2 linked regions of the Rhinolophus ferrumequinum genome follow. The protein of the gene in region 2 interacts with the protein of the main gene of each other region in a pairwise test. Links are inferred from orthologs where the notes say so. Each region holds a gene or a part of one and is shown on either strand. Other genes may lie near its edges.

Region 1 (15,884 bases), on a different chromosome or scaffold from region 2:
CCAGGTATTATATTGTATTATATTATATTGTATTATACTATACCTGCTATTATATTATATTATATTATATTATATTATATTATATTATATTATATTATACCTGGTCTTATATTAAAATAAGACTGGGTCTTATATTAATTTTTGCTCCAAAAGACGCATTAGAGCTGATGGTCCTGCTAGGTCTTATTTTCGGGAAAACATGGTATCACCAATCATCTACCAGATGATAGACTGATACTTATTCTACATCTTAATGTGGAATATAGCCAAGAGGCCTCCACCTTCATGCAGGACTAAAAGAGAGATCAAACCACCCACCAAACTCAGCTATTCTCTCTGTTCTCCTTACTTAAAGCTCTACAACATAACATTTTAAAACTAAAAATAATTTTTAAAAAACACTTAGCAGACAAAATCAGTCAGTCTATTCTCCAATTATGTGACACATGATAATTTACATACATCTACAGAAAAACAAGTGAACATGTTAAAAAGAAGTCTAAGTAAACAGAAATACACACTAATGAAACACACTTTTAAAGATATTTGGCTCTTTTAAAGATATTTGGCACTTTTAAAGATATTCCATATTTGATATATTTGAGAACTTGCCCTTTTTGGCACACACGTGCATGTGAAGCATATTAGATATATCCCAATCATTGACAACCACCAAAGAACAGATGTGAGACAAACACATAAACAGTACCCCACAAACACAGAGATCACAATTAGCTATACAGTACACATTACCAACAGAGCACAAAGTCACACACAGAGGTAACAGATCTTGAGTACAGCTGCCCTCACACCTTGAAAGCTACCCTTTTGCAAGCTCCCGCCCACAGACACCTACACCAGGAAGAAGTCATCAACAAGGACCTCCCACCTCTGAGCCTGCTGGGCTTCACTGAGCCAGGGAGACACCCAGCTGAGTGCGCACCGGTAACAATCAGATAGCCTGGCTAAAAATAGCAACTCTGGGGCTAGGAGCTGGCTCCCCTTCTCCCGCCCTCCTCCTCTCTCCTTCCTTCCCAGCCATGCACGCACGCAAGCTCGCTGCACCTCCATGCAAACTCCTGGTGCTGCCAAACCGCCCACGCCTGATGTTTGCACGCCCTGCTTCCACCCACACAGCCTGGGCACTCTTACTGGCAGAGAGCTATAGCTGGAGTGAGGTCTCGGTGGGGGAAGGAGAAGAACGATGGGTGACATTTGTATTGCTGGGTCTAGAAAGACTGGCAGGAACCCCTTGGTAGCCATTTGGCACTCCCCTAGAGCTGATGCCAGCAACCCCCTAAGCATTTGCTGCCTAACAGGTTTGTGCCTGCACAGCCTCCAGATTCCAACTAGTCTTTCTTCCTCCTATCCCTGTGGACAGTCCCTCCACAGGGCATTTCTCTAGCATGCCTCAGAGTTCAGAATCCTGAACCTAAACATATCACCTATGTAATCTCTAAATCCACACCCAGATACTATTACTATGCACAAGCATATACATACAACTATACACAAATCCACACACTTTGCCTTTCAAAGCTCATCCTAGCTATGGCTGCCTACCCCTCTCCTGACTCCAACACATCTTTCAGGCTATCAGTCACTCTTCTAGTAAGTGACTTCTCCCCTTGACGCTTATCCCTTTCTCCTAAGGGTCAGCATTCATGCTCATTGCCCTCTCCCTCAAGGTCCCCACCCATGCAATCTTTGCAGGTACACACAAGTACCCTGCCCTGCTCCTCACCAGCAACACGCCCACTCAATAGGGCTGAAGGAAACACCTTTAGTGCCTCAGGGGCCTGGGCCATCAGAGACCCAACTGCAACCCAAGAACTGCTTAATAGAAGAAGGGGGAAAAAAAAATCCATGTTTATAAATAGCTTCAGGAAGGGGTTTCCCCTTTATCCTTATCTTCTTCTCTCCTCACCACCCTCCTTTTCATCCCACCACCATGGAAGCTTAGAAACTAATAGGGGCATTTAATCATTCCAGGAAACCTCAGACCTCCTAGCATTGTACTAAATCAAAACACCACAGCCTCTGGGGTAAAGCAGGCACTTTGGGCAGTAACCAGGTCCCATAGTTGGGTTACCCCAGTTGGACAATAACATGACAACAAGCAGGTTTTCAATGACCAGGGTTCTCCTGGGCCCTCCCCACAAGGGGAAGACTGTAAAGAAGTTTTACCCTATTTCCTATAATATCCTGCTAAAGATTCTCTAGGAAAGCTCAGCTTAAGAACACAGAAGCCGGGCCGACCGGGTGGCTCAGGCGGTTAGAGCTCCGTGCTCCTAACTCCTGAGGGCTGCCGGTTCGGTTCCCACATGGGCCAGTGGGCTCTCGACCACAGGGTTGCCAGTTCTATTCCTCCAGTCCTGCAGGGATGGTGGGCTCCGCCCCCTGCAACTGGGATTGAACACGGCACCTTGGGCTGGGCTGCCTCCCCATGGCTCCGAGTCCTGCAGGGGATGGTGGGCTGTGCCCCCTGTCCCCTGTAGCTGGCAACAGGCAACTGGACCTGGAGCTGAGCTGCGCCCTCCACAACTGGGACTGAGGGGACAACGGCTTGAGGCCGAAGGGCACCCTCCACAGCTAGAATTGAAAGGACAGCAACTTGACTTGAAGGGAGGTCCTGGAAGTACACACTGTTCCCCAATAAAGTCCTGTTCCCCTTCCCCAATAAAATCTTAAAAAAAAAAAAAAAAAAAAAAGAACACAGAAGCCTTTAGTGGATATTTCATTAGAAACTCACCCAACATTGGACAGGGGCGTGAGAGTGGATTTCAAGTAGTGAGAGGGCTTAGGGAACCCATTTGGCACATGCCAACTGTGACTTCCCGAAAGGGAAGCACTCTCAGCCTTTTGCTAGTTGTTCTGTCCTTCCCTATCCTTACCACAGCACCAGGTTAGGACACTGAGGTTAAATTTAACCTTTCTCCAGCACCCTCCCAGTCAGCCCTCCAGATACCGCCCCAGCACTCAAAATATATTCGTCTTACCAGCTACAAGAAGATTGCAGCAAAAGATCCTTCTGATCTTTCAGCACCATTCTTCTTTAACCCATCCCACTTCCTCACGCCCGTCACTTCCCCATTCTTCAAGGGTAGCCCAGTGCGAAGAACCTCAGAGATTGAGGTTCCTCCATTCTATTCCCAACCTTGACGCTGATACACTAAGTGTCCCTAGCCACCCCTTGCTCCCTGAAGTCTTGATGCCTCAGTTTCCCCCTTCAATAAAAGGGATGAAGTCATAAACACTGCCAAAGCTTCATCCCTGCAGGGAAGTGAATGAAGTGTAATGAGCTTGTGGCGGCCACACATTCCATGCTCCCCAAAATAATGGCATGAGGCTAATGTTCAGGCTATTATTAGAAAGGCAAATAAGAGATACTTCCATTTCTCAGTCTAACCAACCTAGTTACCCAGACCTCTCCAGGTGGGCCTCGTGCCACTGGGCTTGGGCAGAACCTGAGTCAGGCCACATTCTTCTCTGCGTGCTGGAAGACTGAAAGGAAATACCCATAGAAACTGGGAAAGGCAGCCAAAGGACAGGCTCCATCACATCCACAGGACATCTAATGAAGACTGTAGTACTGGGAGAAAGGCAGAGAAAAACAAAAAAACATTCTGTTGGAGTGTAAAACTGATCCTGGATGAGATGTGTTAGAGCCAAAATTATAGCCAGTTTTCTTCCCATTTTATCTGAAGGGCCAGTAATTGTTCTCTATATGGTACCAAGGTCAGGTATTAAGGAGTGATAACTTCCTGCTTTGTATATAATGCCAAAATCAATAGAGCAGGGCGGCCCGGTGGTTCAGGCTGTTGGAGCTCCATGCTCCTAACTCCGAAGGCTGCTGGTTCGATTCCCACATGGGCCAGTGGGCTCTCAACCACAAGGTTGCCAGTTCAACTCCTTGAGTCCCACAAAGGATGGTGGGCTCCGTCCCCTGCAACTAAGATGGAACACGGCACCTTGAGCTGAGCTGCCGCTGAGTTCCCGGATGGCTCAGTTGGTTGGAGTGCATCCTCTCAACCACAAGGCTGCCAGAAGGTTGACGGTTCGACTCCCGCAAGGGATGGTGGGCTGCGCCCCGTGCAACTAGCAACAGCAACTGGACCTGGAGCTGAGCTGCGCCCTCCACAACTAAGACTGAAAGGACCACAACTTGAAGCTGAACGGCACCCTCCACAACTAAGATTGAAAGGACAATGACTTGGAAAAAAAGTCCTGGAAGTACACACTGTTCCCCTTCCCCAATAAAATCTTAAAACAAAAAAAAAATCAATAGAGCAGTGGCGAAGTTAACCACATTTCAGGCTGCCTCAGTTTCAGTCCTCACTCTACTACCTACTGGCTGTGCAACCTCAGGCAAGTTACTTAACCTCTGTGTGTTATAGTTTCTTCATCTACAAAATAGAGATGATAACTGTACCTACATAGGGTTGTTGTTTAGATTACCTTCAGTTAATATTTTTAAAGCACTTAGAAAGTGTAGCTATGATTATTTTTGAATGGGGATAAAAGAAAATATTTGAAATTAAAAATTAGAAAACTCACCGATCATATAGGTTAGACTGGAAGCAGAAAGCCTGCAATGGTTTACCTTGCAATACTGACTTTGCAATAGTTTTCGGGATGTCAGAATCTCAAGTCTTTCTTTTTGGGGATCATATCACCCCATTGCTGACCAATGCCAGGACCAAGTAAACTCCAAAGTAAACTCCAAAGATGAAGGAACGGGGGAATATCACCTAAGTATCTCTAAATCACAGTTCATTCAGCCCCATAGCCATGTGCTTCTAAATGATTCCACAAGGGCAAGGAGAATTAGGGAACCTCAGAGCAAGCAGGGAAGCTGTGTGGTGGTGGTACACCTGCAGGTGTGATGCTCTTCACTCTGAGCCATTCAACAAGTTGCATTCCAGCAGCTGGTGAAGTACTTTGTAAGAAACAGACCGCTGTTACACCAAAGCCAGCTCTTCAAAAAGTTGGGGAGGGAGTTCTAGGGTTAAGAGCCAAGGATCCTCATGCTTTTGAGATCAAAGATATCAGAAAGAAGCTCTCTTATTAGTCCTAGAAGAGGGGGTCCCAACCTGAGACTGGGCTGTCCTGCTGCTTGGGATGACTTTTACAGAGCCATTCATGAGGGCTCCCACTGGCCAGGGGAGGCCACCTTTCCTCCCAGCTGGGTATCCTAACCAGCACCCTCCCCAGGTCCTTGCACAGGGGCACCTGCTTTTAGAGTCCTGCCAGAAACACGTAACTCTAGGTAATTGGAGGCTTAGTCTGAAAAGCACACATGAACCTGTCTCGAGCTACATACCTACTCGAAACACAGATACAGAGCCACATTCATCTAAATTAAGAAACATCCATACAAACCTGGGTTCCCGCCCTGTCTCCTAAACTCCTATACCACTACTAACAGGTAGCTTCCAGGACCAAGTGGATATACTTAGGGACTTAAGTAGTCCATCCATGGCCCAGACAGGAGAGGAGAAAACATAAAATCCCAAGCAAGATGAAGCCTCTTACTTGGCTTTGCTGTGGGATGTAATACCCCTCACAGAAGATATTTCCTAATGGCAGAGCAGGGAGGCAGGCACCCAGTTAGTGATGCCAGGTTGAAAGGCAGAGCTCTACCAAACACATAGCCCAGACTCAGAGAGAAGGATTTCCTGGCACTTTTCCCCTGCATTTTCTGAAGATTCTGGACTCCTATCTTATGAAGGAAAACTTAAATACAAAGTTCCAGAGACCCAGAACTGAACAAGAAACAGGAAGGGAGATGATTATTAGGTGCTTTTATGAAAGGAAACTCCTCAGAGGTCAAATCTCCCTGGTGGCCACCTTATTTAGATGGAAGACTGGAAGGAGACTGAGCAGAACACTCCTCACTCCTCTCTTCCTATGCAGGATCTGATATTTTATTTTACTTTATTTTATTTTATTTTATGTTATTTTATTTTATTTTAAGGAACTATCAGCAAAGGACAGGAGGCGGGTAGGGAACTGGGGCAGTGGTACTGGGTCAGCATTAAGGAAGAACTTCAACCCAGGAGTTGGCATTCCCCTATGCCCTTACTTCTTGTCTCGGGACATGTGGGACTCCCATATCCCTTTGGATTCTATTGGTAGAGACATGCTTCCAGCCAGACATGGGAATATCACGAAAGGAGGCCTCTCGGTATCTGAGCTATGGGGAGTGGGGACAGACTGCTTTTTTTGTCAAGAGAGCAGCAATCACAGTGGGTTGGAGAGAGCAGCTCTGGTGGAGCCGACCTAGGGTTGCAGATAAGAAAATATAATACCAATGGAAGCCCTAAACAAGGCCAGGCCATGAAATGCCATCATGACTTTAGTGAGGGCCCACTCTCGGAGTGAGAGGGCCCAAGGATGGAGGGTGGTATGGGAGTCTGGTTGGGATATGTCAATCATTGCTATACAGTATGAATGGAGTTCTGAAAACGCAGGCATTCTCTGATATCCCTTTGCTGTGAGCATGGCAACATACACTTCCCTAGGGACCTCAGATGAATCCCATCCTATTAGTCCCAAACACTAAAAAACCTCAGAGCCTCTTCAGCAAGATGTGGGTTCCAATCCAGCAGCTTCCTCAGAATACATTTCCCAGAGATTCTCTGAGTTATCACTCTACTTTCCCCAGTAATGAACCCAAGAGCCACCATCTCATTCCCCTACACCCACTAGTACCTAAAGATGACAGAGAGAAGATGAGAGAATGCACTAACCTGTCTCCAAGGATCCCCCAGCAAACGGAGGGAACCCCCTGGTACTGCAGTTAGGGGTTGGAGGGATTCCCCTCTTCAAAGGCAGATGAAGAGTCTCATCCTCAGTGGCTCTTGCTGTACTTGGCTGAGCCTCCCAAGCTGGGGAGGGGAACTGGGTCCCCTGAGGATGAGGAGCAGAGGGAGGTGGAGCGGGGGGAGGCGGAGAAGGAGGTCCTACCTGGGGAAGGTGGCACACCCCCCACACTCCGCCTGATACCCTGGGGAGGAGGGGAGGAGCCTCTCCCAACCAGGAGCTGTCTCCTCCCCCTTGGGGGAGTCCCCCTCCCCCCCAAAGTGGATCTTTCGGGAGCGGAGAGCTCTTTCTGCCCGACGGAGATCTAAGCGCAGGGGTTCTGCCCTGTTCCACTGTCTAGGTACAAGGAAGTTGAGGGGGGAGTTCTTCCCCTCTCCCGAAAAGCTGAAAGCCGATTCCTCTTCTTTCCCTGGAGTGTCCTCTGCTTCTGAATGTAAGACTCCTCTCCCGTGATTACTGGAGAGGATGGAGAGTGCCTACTCCATAGGCATACCCCCTTTCTCTTTGCCTCAAAAGTCCCGAAGTGTTGAGAGTGTGTTTGGAGGGGTGGAGGCACGCCGGGGCGGTCTCACTCTGCTTCCTTTAGTAAGGATCGCCCCCTTCTACTTCTAGAGATCTATTCCCGGGCCAGTGTGGGGATTTTTCTTGTCTCCAGGAAGGAGAGACTCGTCCCCTATAAGGGTCTCTTCTTTCCCTCGCCCGGATGGTAAGGGTCTTCTCTTCCACAGGGCGAGGCGGCTCCCGTCCCCGCTCCTGCCTCCGCTCCTGGGGTGCCCCAGAGGGTGGGGTTTTCGTACTCCCCGCTCTCCCTGGGCCGGCCTGGGCAACCGGGTCCGAGAGGCCGCGGCTCCGGACTCCCGTCAGTGGCTACTGTGGCGGCAGCGCCTCCTCTAGTCCGGTCCCGTCCAGTCCGCTCCCTTCGCGCGTGGGGCTCCCCGCACTGCCACCTCTCGGGCTCCGGCCAGTCCGGGCTCCCGAGGAGCCAGAAGGCGGACGGACAGTGTCAGGGCTCGGCTCGGGCTCGGCTCGGCTCCGCTGCAGGCCCCGGCTCCTCCCCGGCCTCCGCGCCGCGCTCCGCGCCCCTCCCCCTCCCCCGCCCGCCCGGCCGCCGCCGCCGCAGCCTCCCTGCGCGGGTTAAGGAGGAGCGGGAGGCGCCGAGCGGCGGGCTGCGCCGCCCGGGGGCGCTGCGCCAGGAAAGCCGCGCCGAGGTACTCTGGCTCCCGGGAAACGCGCGGCGCCGCTCGCTGCTCTCCAGCCGCTACCTGTCCACTTCCCTCCATGCAGCTTGCCATCCACCCAAGACGACCCACTGCTCTGTATCCGGAGATTGTCTCGTTCACACTGTACACGAACTATCAATTCCAAGTTAACACTAATCCTGGTTCGCTCACCTCTTTTTTCATTCTGTTGTAGTCTGTGTACAGATAAATATCTCCTTTTTTCACAGAAATATTTTTGGTGGGCTTCTCTTTCCCCTGAGATAGTTTATAAAGGGTTATGAGGGTTGGGGTGAAGTTACCCTCATATCATCCTTGAATTCAATCAATACTGTTGAATAAATGAATGTATAAAGAGACAAGTGAGTGTGTAACGGAGATAACTCTGAACTAAACATAAAATCTAGCTTTGTAAAGTTGTGCAAGGCCCTTGTTAGAATCTTGGTCAGCAAAGAGAAGAAAGACCTTGATACTCGCCGTGTCTACTAACGGGTGTTGCAAAGAAAATAGTTTATGTGAAAATGCTTTTTAACTGTATAGGATACAAAATAAGACTCGTTCATTTCGCTTGATGACCCTATAACATATCTTATTCTGGTCACAGAGTGTAGAATGTTCTCATTCTCTGCCCCTTACAGAATAGTCCCCACCCAAGACAGAAAATGCCACCAGGGAGCGGACTCCACCTATACTTTTCCTCTTGGAGTCACATTATTCCTCTGCAAACTTTTATATTGCATCCTCTGGCCTATTCAACTTTTCTCACTCTCCTGTATTTTCTATCACATAAAATAATATGACAGCAAAAATACTATGCGTTAAATATTTGAATTGCTCAAAAAAAGTCTGCATATTCGAGATTACAGCTTGACTACATTTCACATTTAGATAAAGTATTTTGTCTTCTGGCTAAATATGATATTATATTTTACTTAAATTATACATACATAAAATTACATTATATTTACAATATGCCAGGCATTGAGCTAAGCACTCTGCATGTATTACTACATTTAATTCTTCTGGAAGTCCAATAAGGCACTATTATACCTATTTCATAAATGAGAAAATTATAACTTAGAGATATTGACTATGTCTAAATAACATGATTAGTAAGTAGCAAAGTCAGGACTTAAACTAACAAATCCAAACGACCCTAAAGACCCAGCTCTTCACTTCTGTGCCATTGTCCTTAGCTGTCAGAATCAAAAGTCATCCTTAGGGGGGTTATCACTGTGTGAGGGATATAAATGATAAATGTCTATTACATTGTATTGTACATTTGAAACTAATAAAAAAAAAAAAGGGGGATAAAGTCATCCTTAAACTGAAAAGAAGTGAATCCCAGTCAAGCGTTTTCTTTCTCCCTACCCTTCCAATATCAGGTTTTAAAGCTGTATTTTCCCCCTTCTTTGAAACATCAACATATTCCTCCCACACGCACAGATAATTCGGCATCAAATGTTTCTTGCTAGTATACGTTTAGATGTTTTGCTTCTTTTCTCAACGCTTTTTGACATTTTCTATGTATGTATATGGAATTTGGGGGGCAAGAGTAGAGAGGTGGAAGTACTAAAAAAAATGGGAAAGCTAGGGAAGGATTAGAATCTCTTTTTCTGGAAATTTAGAAAAATAAAAACCTCAAAAACTTATTTGATATATACAAGATATTTGCTGCAGCATTATTTGCAACTGTAAAAATTTAGAAACAAATGTCCATAATAGGGTAACTGTTAAATAAACTATGGTATATCTATATAGTAGAATACTACTTGGCTTTTAAAAGAGTAGTAATTGTATTTAACTTTGGAAAGTAGAATTAGTGAGGAGTTCGCTTTTCTTTTTCTATCTTCTTCACCGTTTAGATATTTTGCGATAGGCACGTGTTATTTTAAAGAACCAATTATTTTTCATTTATCTGAATATATTCCAGTGAGAAAATAATGTTTTAAAAGTTTGTATAATACGATCACACAGTTGCTCTTTAAAATATGTATATGTATATGTATGTATTTGTGTATATACATATATAGATGGATAGACACCAAAGATGTGAGCCTCAAGATTATTTTAATTTATACCTCATTTTCTACTATATCTGTAATTAGTGTTTGTATGGTTTTTGCTCATGTAATTTTTTAAATTAAAAAAAAAAACTATAAGGTTGGTTTGGTTTTGGTTTTGCCCTAAGACGGGGAACCACTAGCATTCATTCTCCCTTTACTTTCTATTAAGGAGGGTGAAATGAAGCAGAACAAAAATATAGTCACTGAAACATGCAAGGAATCAAAATGTAAGGATCCACCCTTCTCTATAACAGAACATATTATATAATTCTACATGAGTGTCAGCCGACCTTGAGCAAAATGCTTCTTCATAATATTGGTGAATATGCCACAATATACATTTTGTTAGCATTTTTTAAAGACCAGTGTATTATATGAAACATAGTATAGTGCATAAGATTCATGTATCCAAATCCCAGTTTTGGCATTCAATAACTGAGAATTTAAGTCATTTAACTGCTTTGTTACTCAACATCTCATTAGTAAAATGAGGATAATAATAGTACCTACTTCATAGTGTTGTGGAGGGTTTGTGTGACTTCATGCATGTGATGCATTTAGATAAGTGCACCAGAAAAGGGGAACCTAGAGATTAAAAGAGGCTTAAAACACACATAAAGCAAATGTAATATATACAGATCAAGAGACATATCCATCAAATGCAATATGTAGACAGTTGGGGGGGGGAATCCTGACTTGAACAAAGCAGCTGGAACAAATATGAAGCAATTGGTGAAATTTCAGTCCTGATTTTTGTGATATCACAGAATATTGTTATATTTTAGATGTGCTAATGGAATTGTGTGATTATTTAAGAATCTTTATATTTTAAAGTTGCGTTCAGGCGTAGTCAGTCATGAAATGCCAGAAATTTATTTCAAATTAATCAAGTGATGGGGGAGAAAGGCATAGATGATGAAAGCTTGGCCAAGTGTTGCTTATTTCAACATTTTACAAAATATAATACTATTCTCTCTACTTTTGTATGTCTGAAGTTTTACAAAATAAAGTTTTTTAAAATACTGTTCAAAAAGTGCGGGAACATAGCAAGAACAATGTAAATGTTTATTATTATATGATTTGTATTTATATCATCTAATGTTTATTTACACCTTTCAGATCACACCGTATTTTCATTTACACTATGTGTTTTGGTACTCACACTAAACCTAGGAGGTAAGTATTATTATCCCCATTTTACAAATGAGAACACAGAGCCAGAGCCAACACTGCCAAGGCCACCTCCACTCTTTCAGCTATAGGGACCGGTGGTAAAAGGATAAAAGATACCTCCAGCCACTACACGCAAGGTCCTCGCTTCCTTGACTGTAGTCAGATTCACTGGGGAGAGAATAAACAGTATACAAAACGATTCACTTAGATTTATCAGACAAAATTTGAGCTTACATTTGCACATCAGAGAAATTCTAGCTAGCTACTTTAGAAAGCAATCTCGGGGAAAAAAGTAGAACACAGCAGAAGAAATTAAATGATAAAGGAAAAGTTCTCTGTGGTTTGTATTTCCTTTACTTGTTTATTATTTTGTTTTATTAATTTAACTTTATATCCTCTATCTAACCTGTTTATTCTTCATAACAAATAAGACTAGAACTAAGGCGAGGGAACAGAGATGAGAAACTGTGGGAAGCGAGATTGAGAGGCAGGAGGACGTCACACCCTGGTTGTTTTGAGGCCCAGCCACTTCACCGTTCCGTTCCACCTTAAGAAGCTTTAGCCGCTCCCCTAGTAGAGCCAGCACTCAGCTCCTCCCACTCCCGTGTCAGCTTCTACTCGGGAACGTGGGGAAGGGAGAGACGCACTGAATGGAAAGACTGTCGCCAGGGGCTGTAGGGTCTCTCCCTTTCCTTACTCTACGGAGTCGGGGAGGAGCGTGTAAAGCCCGTGGCAATGGGGTTTGGTTCTTTTCCGGAGGATTCAGGATAGGGATGTGTTCCACTGAATTGGGGGAGGGGAAGGGTGTGAGGGGTGGGGCTCATCTTGGGGTGGGGTCGAAGAGGGACAGAACTGGGGCATTTAAGATGTATAGTAAGCTATGATCGCTAGTCGAAAAATCTAAGTTCACGAGGTGCGGACGCACCTCTTCAAACCATTTCCAAAAGAGGGGCAAGTTTTTCATTCTCCGCCCCAATTCCCCTTCTTCATTTTAATTGATTGGGTTTAAGGTAGGCTGGGCCCAAGGTTGCTTGTTGATTGGCTACCTCAGTAATCTATCAGAATGACGCAAGAGTGGGGAGTGGCTATTTGGGGAGGAAGTGAAGATTATTTTGGTACCTCCTACCCCAACTACTGATTGGTTGAGCTTTGCAGCGATGTAAAACAAGGGAGGGACGTTATCTAGGGTGGGACTTGGAAAAGCCAGCTGGACTCTTATTGTAGTGAGGACCAAATTGATTGAAACCCGGAAATGAGTTTAGAAGGAAACTGAAGGAAAAAGGAAAACCGGCGGCACCTTCGTTGCCCTCAAACAAGGTCATTTCCTGCATGGGATTGATAGTTTCCTGTTTACTCAAAGAAGTCTGCGTATACCCTGCTTTCTGGAATATACATGATAAATTCTTATGAGCCTTTGGTCCCAGACTTCTAGTTACTTGTTACCTAAAAGAATGAATGAGACGGAGGAGAGGGAAAGCACGGGGTTTAACCCTGCCTTTAGGAAAGGTTAGGGAAACTGAGGCCCTCTGATGGAAAGCTAAGGATGACGACCCTGGATCACAGGATCCAAGCAGGTGGGTTCCTAAAGAAACCTCGTAAAATAACTGGAGAGGGTGGGTGAGGTAAAGGAACTGTAAAAATTTGTCTGAAGGACGGGCATTAATCACATACAAAAACTTCCTTTGATAGAAAGTGTGTTAGGCAAGGCCAGAGGAAGGAGTTGCGGGAGACCAAAATTGGTCTATTAGAATTTATTTGGCGTGTTTGAACTGTGGGAAGTCAGGCTAGAAAAGACCATAACTTCCCCAAGCAAAGAGGGCTATGGAGTTTTATAGGAGGGGGTAAACCAGGCTGTTCCCTCTTCAATGTTTCAGGGGGTTTTTGTTGACAAAGGGTTTCAGGGCATGACCTAGCCCTCCAGCTCCACACCCTGGCCCCAGATTGCCGTCAGAACCACCCAGACCCGCTGATCACAGGCTTGTAGGATATAAAGCATAACAGGATCAAGACACGATGGCTTTTAAGATAAGGTTTCTGCTCCTGGCCTAAATATGGCTTAACAGTGTATTTTATTCATGGTATATCTGGTGCCTGGCAGTGTGGGGTACATAGTAGGTGATCTGAACCAAACCAGAATGAGAAGACTTTTATAAAATACACTGGACAAATTTTAAAGATGCCAGACCTTTAGAATATGTTTTTAAAGGTATCTGTGCCAATTTTATGATCCTGGAGAAATGTTTCACACTCACCACCTGGGTTAATCCAGCCAGAAATTGTGCTGTAGATATACCTGGGAAGCTGCCTACCTGTGAAAATGCTACCATTTTCTCTTTAAAATTTGAAAACCCAAGGCCTTTAAAATTTGAAAACGGATTTCCCCTCAACTTGCCTACCTAGAAAGATTGAAAAGACAGTTGGGATTAGATGAAAAGATGTCCTCTACAAGCAATGAATGGAAAATAGCGTGTTTAACCTTCAATCTGAGATTAAAAGGTAGGAAGGACGTACTATTTGAGTGTTGAGAAATACCATCTATACTATAAATTATGGAATCACTTTTTTCCCAGCATAGGTGTACACTTGTTTTCCAAATCTAGATTTTGTCTTATAGCTAGACTTCATTAATGCTTTAACATGGTATAAAAGTTGTGCTCTGAAACTGAGTGAACAGTGAAAGAACTTCCCATTAGCATAATAACTATCCCCACTACAGGACCCTGCAAGAGCGATGGGTCAAGATTCAGTAACAGATGTCTTGTGTTTACCCGAAGCGATCCCATCTTTTTATGATCTTCTAAGCCAGATCCTTTACAAGAGAATATATCATCCTTGCTCTTCAGTATCATTTTGACAATTGTTTAGAAATAAGGGGAGGAATATGAGGCAGCTATATTTGCAATAATGAAAGTACCATGGGAAAATTATTAGTAGGCTACAAATAATTCTGCATAATAAGGTATATGTTGCTTATGCCAAAGGGCAGAGGTGGGGAGAGACAGAGCTGTTGAGAAAATTTTTAAGGATTGTGTTCATGAGAGAGAAGTGCATTTTGTTCCTGTCAATGTAAAAAATGTCCAAACATGTAGAGAATTTTTATAAGTTTATTTGAGCCAAACTGATGCCATATGCCTGGGAGTAAGATATCAAATACTCCAGAGAATAACAGTCGGCAGTTTCTTTTATGCATTTGAAATTAGGGAGGGAATGTAAGGAAGATTATCATGAGTGTGGGAGAAAGCAAGGCAGGGATCCGATTATAAGTTAAGATCTCTTGAGGGTGGTCCTGCTTTAGAAGGATGGGTCTGAAAAGAGGCATTTCAAAGGTGTATTAACCTAGGCAGAAAGAAACCTTTTATTAAAGAAGTTATATGCGGGGTGCATGACTACCCACCATGACCGCCCACTTAGCAATTTATGATGAAATTACCCTGTGAAGTTATTTTCCACAGAACCCCATTTTTCATCCACATTCCTACTGTTACATGAATTATGTGGAAACATACAAAATGATTTTTAGGTTAATAATTCATGCACAGATAGCAGTCACTTTCCCTTTGATGATGCCCAATAAGCCAAAGCAGAAATTGTCTCTGAGGGAAGTTAAACCCCAGCTCCAAATCTAAGGAAGGAAAAAAAAAAAACTGTCATTGTTCCTAATCACAGATCCCAACCCTCCAGCATGTGTGCATCGAGGTTAATACACCTTTGAAATAAGTTATAACCACCCTCAAGAGACCACATAATCTTGTTAACTATCCTGTAATCCAATCCCGCCTTACTTTCTCCTACCATGTAATGTTCCTTAGTTTCATCCTTAATCTCAAATGCATAAAAGAAGCTGCAAAACTTATGAGACACTGAGTCAGATACTAGATTCTTAGACCTTAAAAGAATTTTCTTGGAGCCCAGCTGCTCTCTCCCCTCCCCTAACACCCTCTTGTGAAACAGCAATCAAGCATTTCTTTCCTCTCTAGAACCCCAAGGAACAGCTACAAGGCCTCAGAAAACCAGAGATGAAAGTACCAGATCATACTGCATTTTGCATTTATGGAAAGAAGAGGAGAAGGCAGGGCAGAGGTATAGGAGGGGCTGGTAGAGGCATAGAAGGGACAATGTACTTACTATTGCCCAGTCAGGTATCCTGTCAGGGTTGATTGCAATAAACAGAAACCACTTTGTTTTAAACAGAAAACACCTTAATACAGAGACATGGATGCTTTAAAAAAAAAAATCATGGGAAGGACTGGAGGAGCATGGTCATTGCTGATCTCAGAAATGGCTCCAAGAATGAGACTACTAAAACTCTCCCACCAGGGAAGTTTCATAAAGGGGAGGAATGAAGACTATTGCTGAAACTGTTGAGTTCAAGAACACAGTGCCCTAGTTGTGATCCAGGAATCCGGAAGCTACTGTTGCTGTCACCACCTCAACATCCTTCAGTGGCCATGTGAAGGGATGCTGGAAGACTGCTGCAGAAAAACTCAACATCCCATGACCATGCTGGCCAGCCACAACCAAAGCAGCCAGGAGGTGGCCCCTGCCTCACTTCTATTTTTCAAGTTTCTTGAGTGTGCAAATTATTGATAGATCAAAATTTATA
Region 2 (16,366 bases):
CATTTGTTCAGTGTATAGTGCACATCTGATTTGTGTCAGGCAATGTGCTGGACACTGGAAATACATAATGAGCACATCCTTGCCCTCAGACTTCTGGGAGAAATAGACACAAAGCAGACTCATTTAAACAAACAAACAGAAAAGCTGAGTTTTGATAGGCACCATGAAGGAAATAAATAAGGAACTGAGATGGGCAATGCCCACTTTTGATAGGGTAGTACGGAGGGTTTTTTGAAGAAATAACATGTAGGAAATGATAAGAAGCTACTTCATGAAGGGTAGGGAAAAGGGTATTCCAAGGTGAAGATACCATATGCAACGTTGGTGAGGTAGGAAAGAGCTTGGCTTGTTTCAAGAACTGGAAAAAAAGTAGCCTGACGGGATCACAGTGAATGAAGAAGATGAGGCACGATGATGAGCTGTTTCTCAGGGCTTCATGGGTCATGTTGATAAGTTTGGATTTTTTTTTTTTAACTTTTTTATTGGAGAGTATTGGGGAACAGTGTGTATTTTCCCAAGACCCATCAGCGCAAGTCAAGTCATTGTCCTTCAATCTAATTGTGGAGGGCGTAGCTCAGCACCAATTCTAGTCGCTGTTTTTCAATCTTTAGTTGCAGAGGGCGCAGCCCACCATTCCATGAGGGAATTGAACCGGCAACCTTCTTGTTGAGAGCTCGCATTCTAACCAACTGAGCCATCTGGCTGCCCCTGGATTTTATTTATATTTTTTAATTTTTATTTTATTTTTTTTAGATTTTTATTGGGGAAGGAGAGCAGGATTTTATTGGGGAACAGTGTGTACTGTTCCAAGTGTGTACCAAATCAAGTTGTTGTCCTTTCAGTGTTAGTTGTGGAGGGCGCAGCTCAGCTCCAGGTCCAGTTGCCATTGCTAGTTGCTAGTTGCAGGGGGCGCAACCCACCATCCCTTGCGAGACTCAAGGAGTTGAACTGGCAACTTTGTGGTTGAGAGCCCACTGGCCCATGTGGGAATCGAACTGGCAGCCTTCGGAGTTAGGAGCACAGAGCTCCAACCGCCTGAGCCACTGGGCCGGCCCCCCTGGATTTTATTTTAAGTGCAGGGGTTTCACAAAGGAGAGTGACACCGTCTTATTTATGTCTAAGGAAGATTGCTCTGACTTCTGTGTAGAGAATGGACTGATGTGGGCAAGTCTAACAGTAAGGAAACTTGACAGAGACTGTTGCAGTAATCCACATGGGAGATGGGTTTGGACTGATGGTGGCCATGGAGACAGGGAGAAGAGGAGTGATTGGAGTTAAATTGGCGGTAGAATTGACAGTTGTTGGTGATTTGATGCAGGAACTGAGAGTACATAGGTGAATCCGTCAGTGTCCAGTTAGGAAACAGAAACCATTCTAGGTGTTTTAAACAGAGGGAATTTAACCTAAGGAAATTAGGTTATCTGTTAGAATGGTTTTGACTACTAATAGTTACAAAAGTGTTGGAAAAGTTGGAGAAACAGAAAGGGGAAGGTGTGGTAATCTCAGGTGGGCCTCTGCAGGAAGCCAGGACCACTCCTACGGCTGGAGGAAAAAAAATAAGCGGTGGTGATGCTATCAGAGCCCAGATGTGTCTGGCATATGACACTGTGTGAAGCTGCTGATGCTATTGCATCTGGGCCACTAACCCAGGTCACTGATGCTGGTGCTGGAACTGCTGAGGCTACTGGAGCTCTCGGCTGCTGTTCCTGCCACAGACACTGCCAGAAGCTTTGTGTTTTGTTTTTTTTTTAAAGGAGGGTTCTGTCCCTCATTTCATCCAGTTTCCCACCAGTGCTTCCCACTGGCAGCGTCAAACTGGGCCAGCTGGCGACGGAGTCTGGAAAAGGCAAGTCATCGGATTCCAGCCCCCTTCCCCAGAGCAGAGCAGAGAACGGCGGGAATGGTACTTAGTGCCAATAACCCAATGAATCCCATAGTGTTTAAAAGTATATATTTCTTTCTTTCTACAGCAGCAATATGTGCCCACTAAAGAAAAATTTAAAAATATGTATAAACAGAACATTAAAAACTGCCATATTCCTACTTACCCAGAAACAATCATTAATAACATCCTGGGCTCGCACTCTCTCTCTTTCTCTCCCACTCCCACTCTTTCTCTCTCTCTCTCTCTCTCAAAAAGGGATCCTTACTCTACTTTCGGTTTTGTAACCTACTGTACTAAATTTCTGCAATAAAACATTTGCTGGACATTTATTTTGTTCCAGCTAGCTGCCAGTGTTGAATATTTATGTTCTACTCAACATTTTCCTATCATAAACATAAAAAAGGAGTTATTGCTTGAAAACAAATTTGCAATTCAAGAAAACAGTTTATAAAGAATCAATGGTAACTTCCAGTTTTGACTATTATGAGATTATTTGCTTAGGTAGAAAGATAAAGTTATTTTAAACATAAGGTAAAATGTCAGGGCTTTCCCTACCCTGTTTATTTCCTTTGTTGAGAAGAAAACACTCTTTGTAGAATTTCAGAGCTGGAAATGCAGTCCGGAGGTGGAGAGGAGCTGTAGCTACAGACTGCACTGCAACCGTTCTGCCCTGTCGGTCTCCATGGAGTCAGACTTCTGATAAGAAAGGTGGTCCTCTGATATGTGCAGAAGCGGTGATACCACGACAAGGTGATACCATCACAAGGTGTGATACCAAGACAAGGTGTCTTTATTATGGCCACAAGGCAACTGTTTCTCTGATGTTATGTTAGGATGGTTTTGACTGCTAGTAGCTGAAAGCTATGACTGAAATTGGCTTTATAAATGAAGAAATGTATTATCTCACATGACCGGAAGTCCAGAGATAGGACAGCATCCTGCATTAGTGGGATAAGCTGCTTAGTGATGTCACCAAGGTCCCAAGTCCTTTCAACACTCTGTCCCACCTTTCTTGGTGTTGGCTTTATCCTGAGTCTGGCTCCCTTCATGGTGACTAGATGGCTGCCGGGGCCACAGAACTGCCTGTTTCCTTTCTACATGTTCGGCAGGAAATAATATAAATTCAATATAAATTCTTTTTTCTTTTTAGTTCAAGCAGACCAGTGGTTCACAGTACTGCTGTATTAAAATCAGCAGGAGTGCTTTAAAAATTATTTATTTATTGCTATCATTTCATTTTTGTTTGTTTATCTGCTATTTTATTTTTTGACTGCTGAGACCTAGGCTTTGTCTCTAGAAATAGTTATCAGTCTGGAGTGGGGCTTAGCTGGAGGTAGTTTTGAGGAGCTCCCAAGCGATTCTAATGTACAGCCAGGGCAGAGAACCACTGGATTAGGCTGCTTTAGGTCACCTGGCCATCCCTACCTAGAGGAACAGTTACCAGTCTAATACCATGATCTGATTGGCTGAGAAAAGTGGAGCTCAAAGTGTGTTCCTCTTCCCCTACCAGCAGGAGCAGCTCCTGAGAATCTGTTAGAGACTGGCAAATTATCTGGCTCCACCCAGACCTACTGATTTAGAAACTCTGGGGGTGGGGTTAGCAATCCGTGTTTTAACAAGCTTGCCAGGTGATTCTGATAGACACTGAAGTTTGAGACCCACTGCCTTAGACTAACTTAGGCCAAGCTACTTCTCTGGAGCCAGGGAGGAGACACATATGTGGACAAAAGCAGAAGTGTGTTGGGACAGTGAACCCAAGGCACCGGAGCCTTTAGCACTCCCTCCTCCCAAAACCAGGCCAGAGAGGGGAGGAGAGGGATCAGGACCTGAACACTGGAGACCCCAGGCTGTATGGAGAGGACCTCCCAATGGAGGTCCTCTGACACTACAATGGGCTGTTAGGAAGGAAGAAGGCATGTTCTGTTGGTAACCTGGGAAATCTCTACAAGTTTCTACAGGAGCTAAAGGGCTGAAAAGACTGACTTCGGACATGCTTTCCTGAAAACATTGTAAACTAATTTCAACCACTGTACAATTTCACCAGGCTCCTGGGAAAGGAAAAGACTATGAGGTAAAAACAAAGGAAATCTGAATACAATAAGGATTTTAGTTTATAATGTATCAATATTGGTTCATAAATTTATGACAAGTACCAGGCTAATGTCAGATATCAATAGGGGAAACTGGGTGTAGGGAATATGGGAACTCTACATAAATCTTATCAACTGTAAATCTAAAACTACTCTAAAATAAAACGGTTATTTTAAATAAGATACATTGAGATGTGAAATTCTAAGGAAACACCTTTGTAAAAGGTGTTATAAAATTAAGCATCAAAGTTTCCTTAAAATACTCCATGTTGATAGAAACAACACTGCTGTATTTTTTATGATTGAAACCATGTTTTTTTGCTACGTTTTAAGTCAGAGCAAATGCTTTTTAGACATTTTCAGTTTAAACAAGAGTTGAATTGAAAAATATTTATGAATACTTCTGATATCTCACACTTCCCAGAATCTGTACGTGGCCAGACTTATCAAAGAGCTAACGAGAGAGACTTAAACTTGTCCATATTCTTAGAAATAATTAAGAACCAATGTAGAAAGTCACTTTCTTTGCCATCCCCTTAGACCTGGAAAGAAGGAGATGCCTGGACACCACAGGGAATGGGACATAATCAAATGCCTCTTTCTCTAAACCCAATTCCTAGCAGTGAGCTCAAGCATAAACTCCCTTCAAGCTCTGTCCTTTTGTTTCACCAGCTCCATTTAAATTAAACGCACTTCTTGTGTCCTGAGGGGTGAGCCATGCAACCCAGCAGGCTGAGGTATAGCTCATTACCACAACTACTCTCAATAGACTACTTTCCATAGACAGTACATCACTGGAATATGCAATTCCTAGAAACACTGGGCCATCACTGGATTGGAGCAAGGAACCAGTCCTAATTTGTAGTTTGGAAGATTTCTATTAATATAGTCAGCTAAATAATTTATGGAAAGCTTTGCTTCTCTCCGTTTTCCACCAACTATGAGTAAGGAAACTGTTAACTACAATTGTCATTGCAAGTGAGAGTGTTATAATTAAGAGTTATAACAACAACAGCAAAAAAGAGTACTTACGGGCAAAAACATTGTCAGGCTAAGCAAGTGGCTCAAAATGATTTCCCCCCTGATCTTGCCACATTGGAATCTCTCAGATTCTGTCCATCATTGTTCTACTCTCTCACTTTGTGAACTTGGACAAGTTCCTTAGCTTCTCTATGCCTCATTTTTGTCATCTTCACATTGGGGAATAATAATAGTACCTATTTCTTGGTGGTGTTATAAGAATTAATCGAAGTAATGTTTGTAACACTTTCAGCACACTGCCTGGAATATGGTGTTACAAAAGTGTTTGATAAATTAATAAATAAGCTAGTCCTTGCCCATGTTAGAGTCATTCAATGTAATGATAAATCTCTTGAGGTATAGCATGGCAAAAAAACAAAAAGGAATATTCAGGGAAGGAGCCTCAGGCATGGCAGGACATTGAAGGGGCAGGAGAAATGTAGACAGTTTTCATGAGAAATAAACAGTGTGAGGGAACCCTCCCATGTTATTGGTGGGACTGTAAAATGGTGCAGGCTTCTGGAAAACAGGCAGTTCCTTAAAAAAGTTAAACATAGAATTACCACATTACCAAGCAATCCCATTCCTAGGTATATATACTCAAAAGAATTGAAAGCATCTTAAATAACCAAGAGGTGGGAACCACCCAAATGTCCATTAGTTTATGAATGGATAAACAAATGTGGTCTATCCATACAAGAATATTATTCATCCATACAAAGGAACAAAGTACTGATACATGTACAACCTGGATGAACCTGGAAAACATTTTACTAAGTGAAAGAAGCCAGACACAAAAGGTCGCACATCCTCTGATTCTACATATAGGGAATATCCAGAATAGGTAAATCCATAGTGGCTGAAAGCAGATTGGTGGTTCTCAGGGCTGGGGAATTGGGGAATAACTGCTAAAAGCGTACACGGTTTTCTTTTCGAGTGGTAACCATGTTTTGGAATTACAGAGTGGCAGTGGTTGCACAACAGTGTGAATGTACTAAATGCCACTGAATTGTTCAGTATAAAAGGGTTAATTTTATGTTTTGTTAATGTTATCTCGCTAAAAAAGCATAGATACCGAAATAGGATGAGAGTGAGTGCCCTCTGTGTTCCAGCAGAGAAGACAGAGTGTTCCGGGCTTCTTCTTCCACTCACCAGAGCCTTTATTTGAGAAAGTTACCTAACGTCGTGCCCCTCTGGGCCCTGGTTTTCTCATCTGGAAGAAAATGAAGTTGGACTTGGTGACTTCTAGGACCCCGTTTGGTTCAAATTCCAAGATAAAGAAATTTAACATCCTCCTTTTCTCCCTGTCTCCTCCACATGCTTGAAAACGACTGCATGTGTCCTGCAGATGTACACTGGGAAGACAAGGTTGTTGTAATTCAATTACAGGAAAATGAATTTGTTTTCGTTATTAATATGAAAAGTATCTTAATATTATTACAATGACACAAATTAATGGACAAACAACTGAAACAAATGCACTTTAACAATTAGCTTGGGGTTTGCCACTCTGATGTTCAGGCTCAGAGCCCGTGCGTGGCTCCAGCCTGTCTGCACCCCTCCGTGTAATCACACACTGTGCTTTTTGCCAGTCACGGTATCTCATGCTCCTCAGCCAAGTGCAGTGCTGGCAGCTCCAGGTGGATTGGGAGGCCCTTGATTGATTGATCGGTGCCCTTGCCAAGCAGGGATGGCAGCAAGAGATTGAATATCCTTCTAAACTGCCTGCGCTTTGCAACCAAAATATATAATCTAGAACAGTTTACGGCTATCAGTCCCTAGAATTTGCTTGTAGACTATTACTCTGGTTACAACTAGACTTGTTAGAACTTTACAATTATTGAAATATTATTTGAAGAGTAAGCCAAATTTACCCTGTCCTGGGATTTCAAGCCTTGGGTCAACATACAAGAATTCATTCAGGGAAGTGGGTATGTAATTGTCTGTATTTTACTCATCACTGCATGACACTGCCAGAGCTGAGCAGGGCTACTGAGGATGGGACATTGTGGACATCACTCATTTGTAGGGTCACCAGGAGTCAGAGCTGACTCAATGGCACAAAACACACACACCTCCTCTACCTGCTACTGCAGATTTTCCGGTCCTGTGTAAATTCCCTTCTAATTATTCCTAGGAGTGTCAGGTGTATCTGCAAAGAACCTTCAGCTAGAAAAATTTCAGCCAGCTACCAAGGTTTATCTGTCATTTCCCCCCTTTTATAATTCTGGCTTTCTGTAGGAATATTGAATTCTGAGGTCAACAACAGTCCCTAAAGCTGCAAAAACCAAAAGCCCCTGCTTACCTGGGCACACATTGTTAGGCACCTAGAAGCTGCTAGGTGCTGGAGGTGCAAGGATGTGAGCTCTTGGCATCATGGAGCTGCTGTGGGAATTTAGACAGACCCTTGAGGCAAACCTTTACCCTAGTTGTGTACCTCTGGCTGAAAGGTCATACCAACGGTGCCAACTAATTACCATCTTGGCAGAGAACCTCCTCGAAATATAGCTAGAAGTTTCACCAGAGTTTCCCACTGACTGCTCCTGTTGAACGTTCCTCTATCGCGTGCTTCTGTCTGCTTCTTTCCATCATGTAGCAGCAGTGCCCCTTTGCTATTCTACTTTTTGTTCTTGGTTGGACTGCATTGTATTCTTCCTTTCATATTTCTCCCCTTAGATGCAGAGAGGAGAGGACTGTTGGAAGGAGAATAAAAGTGAAAAAGCTGTATGGGATTGTGTACAAAATAAACGATACCTGTAAAAACTGTATATTCTTTTGATCAACTTAAATGAAACACCTGAGTGCAAGCTAATGTAAAATTAAACAATACGGAAATGGCTTTACATGCGATTCATGAATCTTTTCTCCCCCCCCCGATTTTGATCTCTGGTGCTCATTATGAAAGGGAATGAAAACATCCATAAAGCAGTCAACTTACCTTCGGATAGCTAAAAAATCATCTAGGCAATGTCTGTCCCTCCCATGTAATAGCAGCTCCTTGTGGGACAAGTGAGATAAGAGACCTAGAATATAGTCTGTCTTTTGCGGGACATACCTATACTGGCTGTTACATGAGCACGTGATTAAATTTGAAAGCAGGATTTCAGAACATTCATATTTTAGTAAACTTGAAAGATATGTAGATGAAAACAGCAGAGCAAAATCCAGTATTTTCAGGGTTCAAATATGATCTAGCATTTCTTCATTGTTCACATCCCCCTTCATTGAGCACAGACGGCCTTGAACATAGTAGGGGTTAGAGAAATGTTTGTTAATTTTAGTTAAAACTGTATTCCTCCCAGTCTAGTCTGTCAGTGGCTTGAATCTCCTGACCTGGGTCAAACAGCAGAGGAAAGGAGAAGGAAAGGCACCAGGTAAAGCTAGAACGAGATCATTGTTTAATATATTTTATTTGTTCCTGGGTTATGTTGTTCAAAAACTTGTGAAATGACCAGCCCGGAATGTGGCAGCAAATTGTGCTGTTGATTCCATTTACATTTTCAGAATTGGGATTCAAGTTTTCAAGTTTGTTCTGGGATTTTATGCAAAACATATGCAAATCGTAGCATTCTAAAAACCCCGTCAGTTCTCCAGCCCCGCCCCTAGTCACAAACAACCGCGTCTGGCGCGGAGCCCGTCGGGCTCCTCCGCGGAGTGGTAGACCTCGCGGGGGTGACCGGCCGGGGGGAAGGGCTGTCCCGGAGGCGGTCCCAGGGCGGAGCCTGGGCGGGGCCCGTGACGTGCTGAGTTGGCCGGCTGCCGGGCTGGACCTCAGCCTTTCCCCGCCTGGGGCCGCCGCGGCACCATTGGTGGCTCCGCGTCTCCAAAAGGGACCCTCTGACTCTTCGCTGGGCCAGTACAGTGCTGGGTCGTGGAGCTTCGCACAACTCCCGCTGGTCGCTGACCGGGATCCCTCCTCCCCAGAGTTGCGAGCAACTTTACCCTCTTCCTGGCGCTGCAGTGGCTCGCGGACCTTGGCCACCGCAGGTAGCTGAACCCGGACGACGCTCCCCGCGCCTCGGCTGCGCGCGCGCGTAGGTCGCTCTCTCTCTGGGTGCACGCTGGGGGTCCCCGAGCTGGGCTCTGCGGGCGAGATGCCCCTGGGACACATCATGAGGCTGGATCTGGAGAAAATTGCCCTGGAATACATCGTGCCCTGTCTGCACGAGGTCGGCTTCTGTTACCTGGACAACTTCTTGGGCGAGGTGGTGGGCGACTGCGTCCTGGAGCGCGTCAAGCAGCTGCACAGCAACGGAGTGCTGCGGGACGGCCAGCTGGCGGGGCCGCGCGCTGGCGTTTCCAAGCGGCACCTGCGGGGCGACCAGATCACGTGGATCGGGGGCAACGAGGAGGGTTGCGAGGCCATCAGCTTCCTCCTGTCTCTTATCGACAGGCTGGTCCTGTACTGCGGGAGCCGTCTGGGCAAATACTACGTCAAGGAGAGGTCCAAGGTAGGACGCGTGCGGGCGCCCCGCCGCTACTGCAGACGGGGGGGACCTTGGGACCGGGGGCATTCGGAGTCCGTTGTCTGTCGCCTTCGCAGGGCTACAAGCCAACTTTAGTTTTTAACCAAGAAGCAAGAAAGAAGTCAGTTTGTCCTCCCCACCCCCCGTAAAAATCCATGCTGAGGGACTCAGGTGTATAATTATAGTGGCCTTCTGTTAACTTTGAAATAAGGCTCTGGTGGGTGGTACAAGTCGGAAAAGCTATGGCTTTTTGGTCTGATTTTAGGAATTGGGGTTCTCAAAGGTCCAAACGAGGGACAGGTTATTAGAAACGTTGTGTTTGATCTGAGACACACGTGAACTCATCTTAAATGTCTGCTTTAAAGTCACCTCATGCCCTTTACTGATTTCAGAGGGGCTTCCTACCAAAGCACTCAAAGAAGCTGGAGACAGTTGTGATTTTGCAGTGTGGCATTTGGTTTGTGGAGTTTGGCAAGTGTGGGAAGAGTTTGCCCTGTGAAAGGGTAAAGCTCCTCTTCATTTTTGAGTGCTGCCCTTGGCTTGTTGAACCCGGGACACTTCCATCATCTACTTGATTGTGAAAATTCTCTCCTGGTGCCGAGCCTACACCACCAACTTCCCTTTCTTAATGCAGTTGATGGGGAATCCACTTAAAACAACCAGTTAAGCAATCCAAAGAGTAATCAATTACCTCTGGAAAGAAACCGTATTTTTGTTCACATAGACACATTTTGACTTGCTGGGCGTAAGTTAGCTTGGAAACATTTACAGGTAGATTGGCAGAAATATGGCAAAGTGTAGGACCATGATATTGGTGCACGTAGATTTCTTTGGGGTAGTCTAGATCCTCACTTTCTTTTACAGATGATCCAGCCAGTTTTCCAGTGGCAGTTCTGAGAATGATTTGCATTTCTTTTACTGTGGACTGGTCAAGGGGTATTCAGAACTGTAGAAAACTTGAACACAGTGAGGCAAAACGTACTAGTGTGAGAAGGAGGGTGAACTTTCTTCTGTGTACCATATATGTAACATTTCTGAAGTTAAGATTGATCCTGTAGTACAACATACCATTGTTGTCTCATTTGTCCCATAAGCTGAGAGGAGCACTCTTAATATAGGGCAAGGGGTTAAGACTGGAAATGTGTAGAAATGAAGGGGTTGGAGTGGGCAAATGGAATAAAGGCAAAATGGATTGTTGTACATCTTTCAAGCTAGGAGGACATGAATAGAATATCTGAAAGCATCATTATTAAATGGACACAAAAAGTAAGTCTTAGAAGAGCACGCTTTCTAACTTTTACTTTGATGTGGGGAAAATTCAGCGTTAGCTGGACTCAGTCGAAGATGGACATTAAAGTGTTTCTTTTCTCTTCCTCCATCATTTTGGTGATGGATTAGAATGCTGTTTGTCTTGATTGGTCTCGTTTTTTTTTTGCATCTTGCCTGTCTCTGGGGCGGGGTGGGGGAGGGGAATGGCTCGCCTCAGTATTGCAGATGTACTGTGGTAGCTTCAACCTGAAAAAGCAGATGGCTTCTTAACAGTTTTTTAAACTTTCTTTTAAACTTAGGTGTTAGGAATTTCCTCCACCAGCATTCTGGGAACAGAATTTGTTCTGAGGAAGATCAGAATTAATTGGTAGAAAGAGGTCACTAACATATTTGAACGTATTTATTTAGCTTTGACTATGAACAGTAGTAAGGTTTTAGGCTAGAATTTAACTCCACAAATTGAATGAAAAGCACTGTGTATGTCTGGATAAGGAAAAAAGATCTATAGATATTTTTCAATTATGGATTATCTTCTAGGTAGAACAAATAACTTTTCAGCTAATCCTTTCAGTTAACAGAAGGTGACTGTGAATGGAAAACAGAAAATTCATCTTTTGTCCACTGAAGAGACATCTGTCCATACCAAGATTTCTAGCTCTCCTTTGGTTCTTTTGGCACAAAACTCTTCATTCCTGCTGTTTGGAAAAATCACCTCTAGATTGGGATATTCCTTGGCCAATTAGAACCAAATGCAAACCAGGCTTGAGCAAACAATTATTATAGTAAAAAACTTAAAAAAGTTTGATTTGCTCGTATCCAGAAGTCTCTTTAGTAATGCCTTGTGACCTTGGATCTCTTGTTTGAAGTTTATTATGAAAGCATTGCCGACACACATTCCATTTCTACATGATTTATGTTAGTTTCACCTTAATTTAACCTTCTTATTTACTTCTCTTCCTTCGGCTGAGTGCTTTATTCTGTTCTGCTTCCCAGAATAGTGATATAGACCCAGTGTCCTGCTGCATCCCTCAAGTGGATTTTCAGCAAAAGCTGAATTTTTAAAAGGCAAAATATGTATGTTGATTTTAAAAAATCTATTTGTAACATTTTATTTTGAAAAATTTCAAACATATGTAAATGTAGAGAGGCTAGTATAATGATTATTTCAACAATTGCCTATACAGTTATTTATTTTAGACCAACTGTTTTAAAGGTACCTTAACTTTCTTGGGGTTATGCTTATTAATGTATTGATCCTCATTCAGTAGTTTTCTCCTGGATTTTAAAAGGCCATTGAATAATGTAATAAAACCCTTTATCAATGAAGCAATAGCAAAGGCATTGGGAATAAAATACAAATATATACTAGAATTGAAATTGAAACTGTGGAAGAGTATGGAAAGAAATAATAAAGGTTTCCCCCTTCTTGCCCCAAAACTTATTGCTGGTCAGAATTTATCTGCCTTCACTGTTGGAGAAAAGTCCTAGGGTGCTGAAGACTCTCTGGGAAGTGGCTTCTTATAATGTAGTACAGCAGTATGGCGCCCCCTAACTTCAAGCATGATCACTGCTTTCAGACTATCAAAAGATTTCTTATCTGTTACTCTCTTTTGGAGAATTTAGACCATCTCCAAGATAAATATTGGTTATAATTTGCTCCTTTTGCTTTGGCTGCCTAGATCTTGAAAATGGCTGTTTTCCAGAGAACGCGTAATTTATAGAACCAGAAGTCCTTCTGCTTGAAGCATCTTACTGATAGGCTCACTAGTTAGTATCTCTAATAATAATAACTACCTTTTAATGAGCAGTTTGCTCTGTCTGGCACTGTGCTAATGAGCACTTTACAAATACGACCTGTCTGACTTAGTCTTCAGAACTACAATCTTTAGCAAACTGAGTGATGAAATGGTTTGCCCAAAGTCACAAAGTCAGTGGTAAGAGATAGTTTATCATAAAGTTTAGGGGCTTAGGTTGGGGGTTACTAACCTGTGGTCTCAGGTAAGTTGCTCAATTTTCACCGAGTGTTAAAATGAGGGATAATAATACCATAAAGCTTTTCAGGGGAAAGAGCATGAAATAAAATGATGTACTTAAAATTCTTAGCGGAATTCTGAGCTTTCATCTATGTTACAAGACTGTAAAAAGTTTGGGATTCTAACCCAGTTCTGACCGACTCCAGAGTTTGTGTTCTTGACTATGATGCTCTTCCTTTTCATCCTTTCATTTTTCAGCAAATGCTCCTCAGTGTGGGGTACTGTGCAGGGGTTGGGAATACAAAGGTGAACAGGCATAATCCCTGCCTCATGGGGCTGACATTCACTTTTGAATTGTAGGATCGTCTAGTTCACACTTGATTAATTCTCAAGCCTAAAAAAGAAAAAAGACAAAACCCAGACAATGAAGTGGGTCAATTAAGTACATTTGAAGAAGAAAATGGCGTGCTGTGCTAATGTTTTCCTACTGTTATTGGCAGGAAAAGTGTTTATTAAAAAGGTTGGTTGTTAGGATCCCTGACTGGAGTAGTTCTGGAAGATGGGGTTATGGGGCTTGTATTGTGAACAGACAGATCAGTCTTCCCTTTAAAACAATGCAGAGACATGATGAAACAGCAATAAGTTATGAATAAAAGAAAATATGTTGCAAAGTGGTGGGCTTGTTCCTTTGCTGTTTAGCAATAACAGTTTTGGTGCAGCCTTCTCATGTGATGTTAGAACTATCCGTTACACAGTGGGGTATTTCACGGTTGCAAACCACTTTAAGCAAAAAGGAGATCATAGTTTTTGAAAATCAGGATCTCTCTTAGGATCCAGGTGCAGGGAACGCAGTCATGGTTCACAGAAGACAGGAGCTGTGAACTAGGAACCAGAAAGTCCTTAACATCCAGGACAGCTGGTGTGTTAGTTTTTTCCCTCTGGCGCTTTATGGCCTCCATCTTTGCTTCTCTGCTGGTGCCCTTAATTTCTTCCCCTCTCTACTTTCCATCCAGTTTTTGCTGCTTTTCCGTGCACATGGCTCAAAGTGGCTGCCCCACAGCCTCAGTTTGAGATAAATAGGCACTTGACCAACATTCTAGAATCCCTGTTTTCATTCCCTAGGAGAAAGTATGATGGTCTTGCCTTGCCTCAGGGGACCCATCCGCCTTGGTTGCAGGTGGTAGTGGAGCAAGTAGAATCATGTGTCGCAAATACGGTTGCCAGAGCCCATGAGAAGTGCAGTACTTAGAGCATGGGGTTTGGGGACTAGACATTGTCAGCAATTAAAATCTTAAAAATCTATCTGTCACTGAGGTATTTTAGGGGGAGGAGGCACTGGAACATCTCTCTGTAAGGATGTGAGGGATTCCTATAAAAGGTTTTGTGTTAAAAATAACTTAGCTCTTGGAGGAAGGAAATTAATCCAAGGAAATAATATACAGAATACAGCCTCCGTGACAATGAAGCAAGTTTCTCCACTGGGTGGTTTTCATAGTGTTCCTTATCTATTTTGTTGAATGACACTTGGGAACAAAGAAAAGAAGATTGGTGTGTGTGTATGTGTGTGTGAGTATGTGTATGTGAGTGTGTAAACTTTATCATTTCTTTTGTTCAATTTTGGGCCACTGGCCACTCCACTACAACTTTATCTTTTTGCAGTGAAGTGGGAAATCAGGGAGGTATTAATTTAATTTATTCATTGACAAATCATTAAATGTTGTGACTGGGGGAAAGGAGGTGGAATGTGATTATAAAACCACCTCAAGAAGCTGAAAGTTGAGTGGTATGAAATAGTTGCCACCAACTTTGCTTTCTCTTTTTCTGGTTAAACAGTCTACTTTTCCATTGATTAGTCATTTGTTTCTCTTCTTTGGGCTTTCTCCAATTTCTCTATTTATTTAAAATTAAGTGACCAAAATAAGTGACCAAACTACATAGGACTTTAATGATGCAAGTTTTTAGAGCTAAGAGGTATCAGAAATCACATCTATCCAATCCCTTAATCATTCAGCAGTTTTTATGTTTGGAGAGATGAGGTTTTGCGCAGGCCCTTGAGAAAGGATTGGGGTGAGTCTTGGGCCTAAGCACAGGTGCTTTAATAGAGAGGGGCTAGCCTAGCTGGGGTTACCCCATAAGTCAGGTAGACTGGGAGACAGGGTTGGTAGGTTAATTCAGCTGTATCAGCATTTTATTTGGGAATTTCAAATAGAATTCTAACTTAAAACACCCTTCGGTGGAATTATGCAGCCTACCTGTGCATTCGACTTTTGGGTGTCATGAATTATTTCCCTTTCTGGCCTCTCTCAGCCCAGTGCACATTGGTACATTCTTTCCTGATTCCTGATTCTGGCTAGAAAAATTTCAAATTCGGTAAAGAACAAGCAGCCATGCATGTTTCAACTCCTTTCTGAAAACATACCACTTATGGAAGACTTCTCAGGTGAAGCTTAAAGGTAGGGGTGGAGTTTTATCAAATCATGAGCAGAGCACCTCTGAGAAGCAGCTCCAAGCACCCCTGCATCTTGCATTTCATTATGAAGATCCGAGGGCACCTCGCCTACGGGCTGTGGGCTGCCGTTGCTCAGTTTGGCAAGACCTCTGCTTTTGACTCACTTTTGTGGCCTCAGGTAAATTAAGTGACATTCTGACCTGTGCGTATTGAATACTAAGGAGCAGCGTGCAGGTTAGCAGTATGGAGAAGGTTATTAATTCTTTGTTAATTATTACAGCAACAGATTTGATCATTCCTTTGTAGGAGCACCTGGTCGCTGTTAAGCAATATTGCACCAAGAAATGGGTGTCATTTTTCTCTAGTGTTTGTCAAATGCACATGTTGTTCTGACAGTAATGACAGTTCAGATGTATTCTGCTGGGCAACTGCCAGGGGTGCCCAATGGGTAGCTGAATCCAGAGGCACTGAAATTGTAAATGCGACAGACAAATCATTTTATGATGCCAGACTAAGGAATTTGGCTTTGGCAGATTGCCAGGAGCCGTTGATTTGGCTCAGATTCAGAGCTATGTGTCTGTTTGCCAAGCGAGATTAGTTAGCTTGGTTCATTATACATAGAATTTGTACCTTGTTCCCCTTGATGATTTAAATCTTAAACCAGTATGGCACTTACCTTAATTTTATATCTTCTTTTGATACTGGGATTTGTGGATGAGTTCCTGTTTTTGTTTTTCAGTGAGCTGGTAGTGACTGTTATATTATCCACCCCATGCGCCAGCCCTCTCCCAGCCTTACAGACACACTGGGTTGCAATTGTATAATGCAGGCTTTCAGATCTCTTGTTGGATTGATACCGTACCTACGTACTGAATATCCTCCGTGTTCAGTACAATGTTAATACCTCTTTATTAAGTCAAGCCAATTTTTGATTCTTTAGGAGATACAATGATCAACGTTTCTCAATTTCTGGAGTGAATGTACCTATCTCATTAAATATTGTTTTTCCTTCCAAAATGGGGCTAACATATTATCATCATGTAAAATTAATTCTAAAATACAAAGAATCAAAGAATATGACAGAAGTCGTGATTATTTGCCAGTGGGAAGAAGACAAAATGAAAAACTCAGTTCCAGGTGTCAGTGACATCTATTTTTGGTTCTCTAGGGGAACTTGAAATATTCAGGATAATACTACTCTTCTATTTGAGTAT

Evidence for each region.
Region 1: the proteins of EGLN3 (region 2) and FOXJ2 interact in binary tests that used the Homo sapiens proteins (3 or more experiments, as listed by UniProt). The two-hybrid records come from large-scale screens. The link is inferred for Rhinolophus ferrumequinum from reciprocal best matches to the Homo sapiens genes EGLN3 and FOXJ2.

The regions. Positions count from the first base shown.
Region 1 is NC_046293.1:24,680,435-24,696,318, forward strand, and holds the start of FOXJ2 (forkhead box protein J2), read right to left. Parts: upstream 6,885-15,884; 5' UTR 6,753-6,884; intron 3,593-6,752; 5' UTR 3,559-3,592; coding exon 3,519-3,558; exon of another isoform or gene 3,414-3,518; intron 1-3,413.
Region 2 is NC_046289.1:82,389,715-82,406,080, reverse strand, and holds the start of EGLN3 (prolyl hydroxylase EGLN3), read left to right. Parts: upstream 1-8,727; 5' UTR 8,728-9,089; coding exon 9,090-9,446; intron 9,447-16,366. UniProt on the Homo sapiens protein: Prolyl hydroxylase that mediates hydroxylation of proline residues in target proteins, such as PKM, TELO2, ATF4 and HIF1A. Target proteins are preferentially recognized via a LXXLAP motif.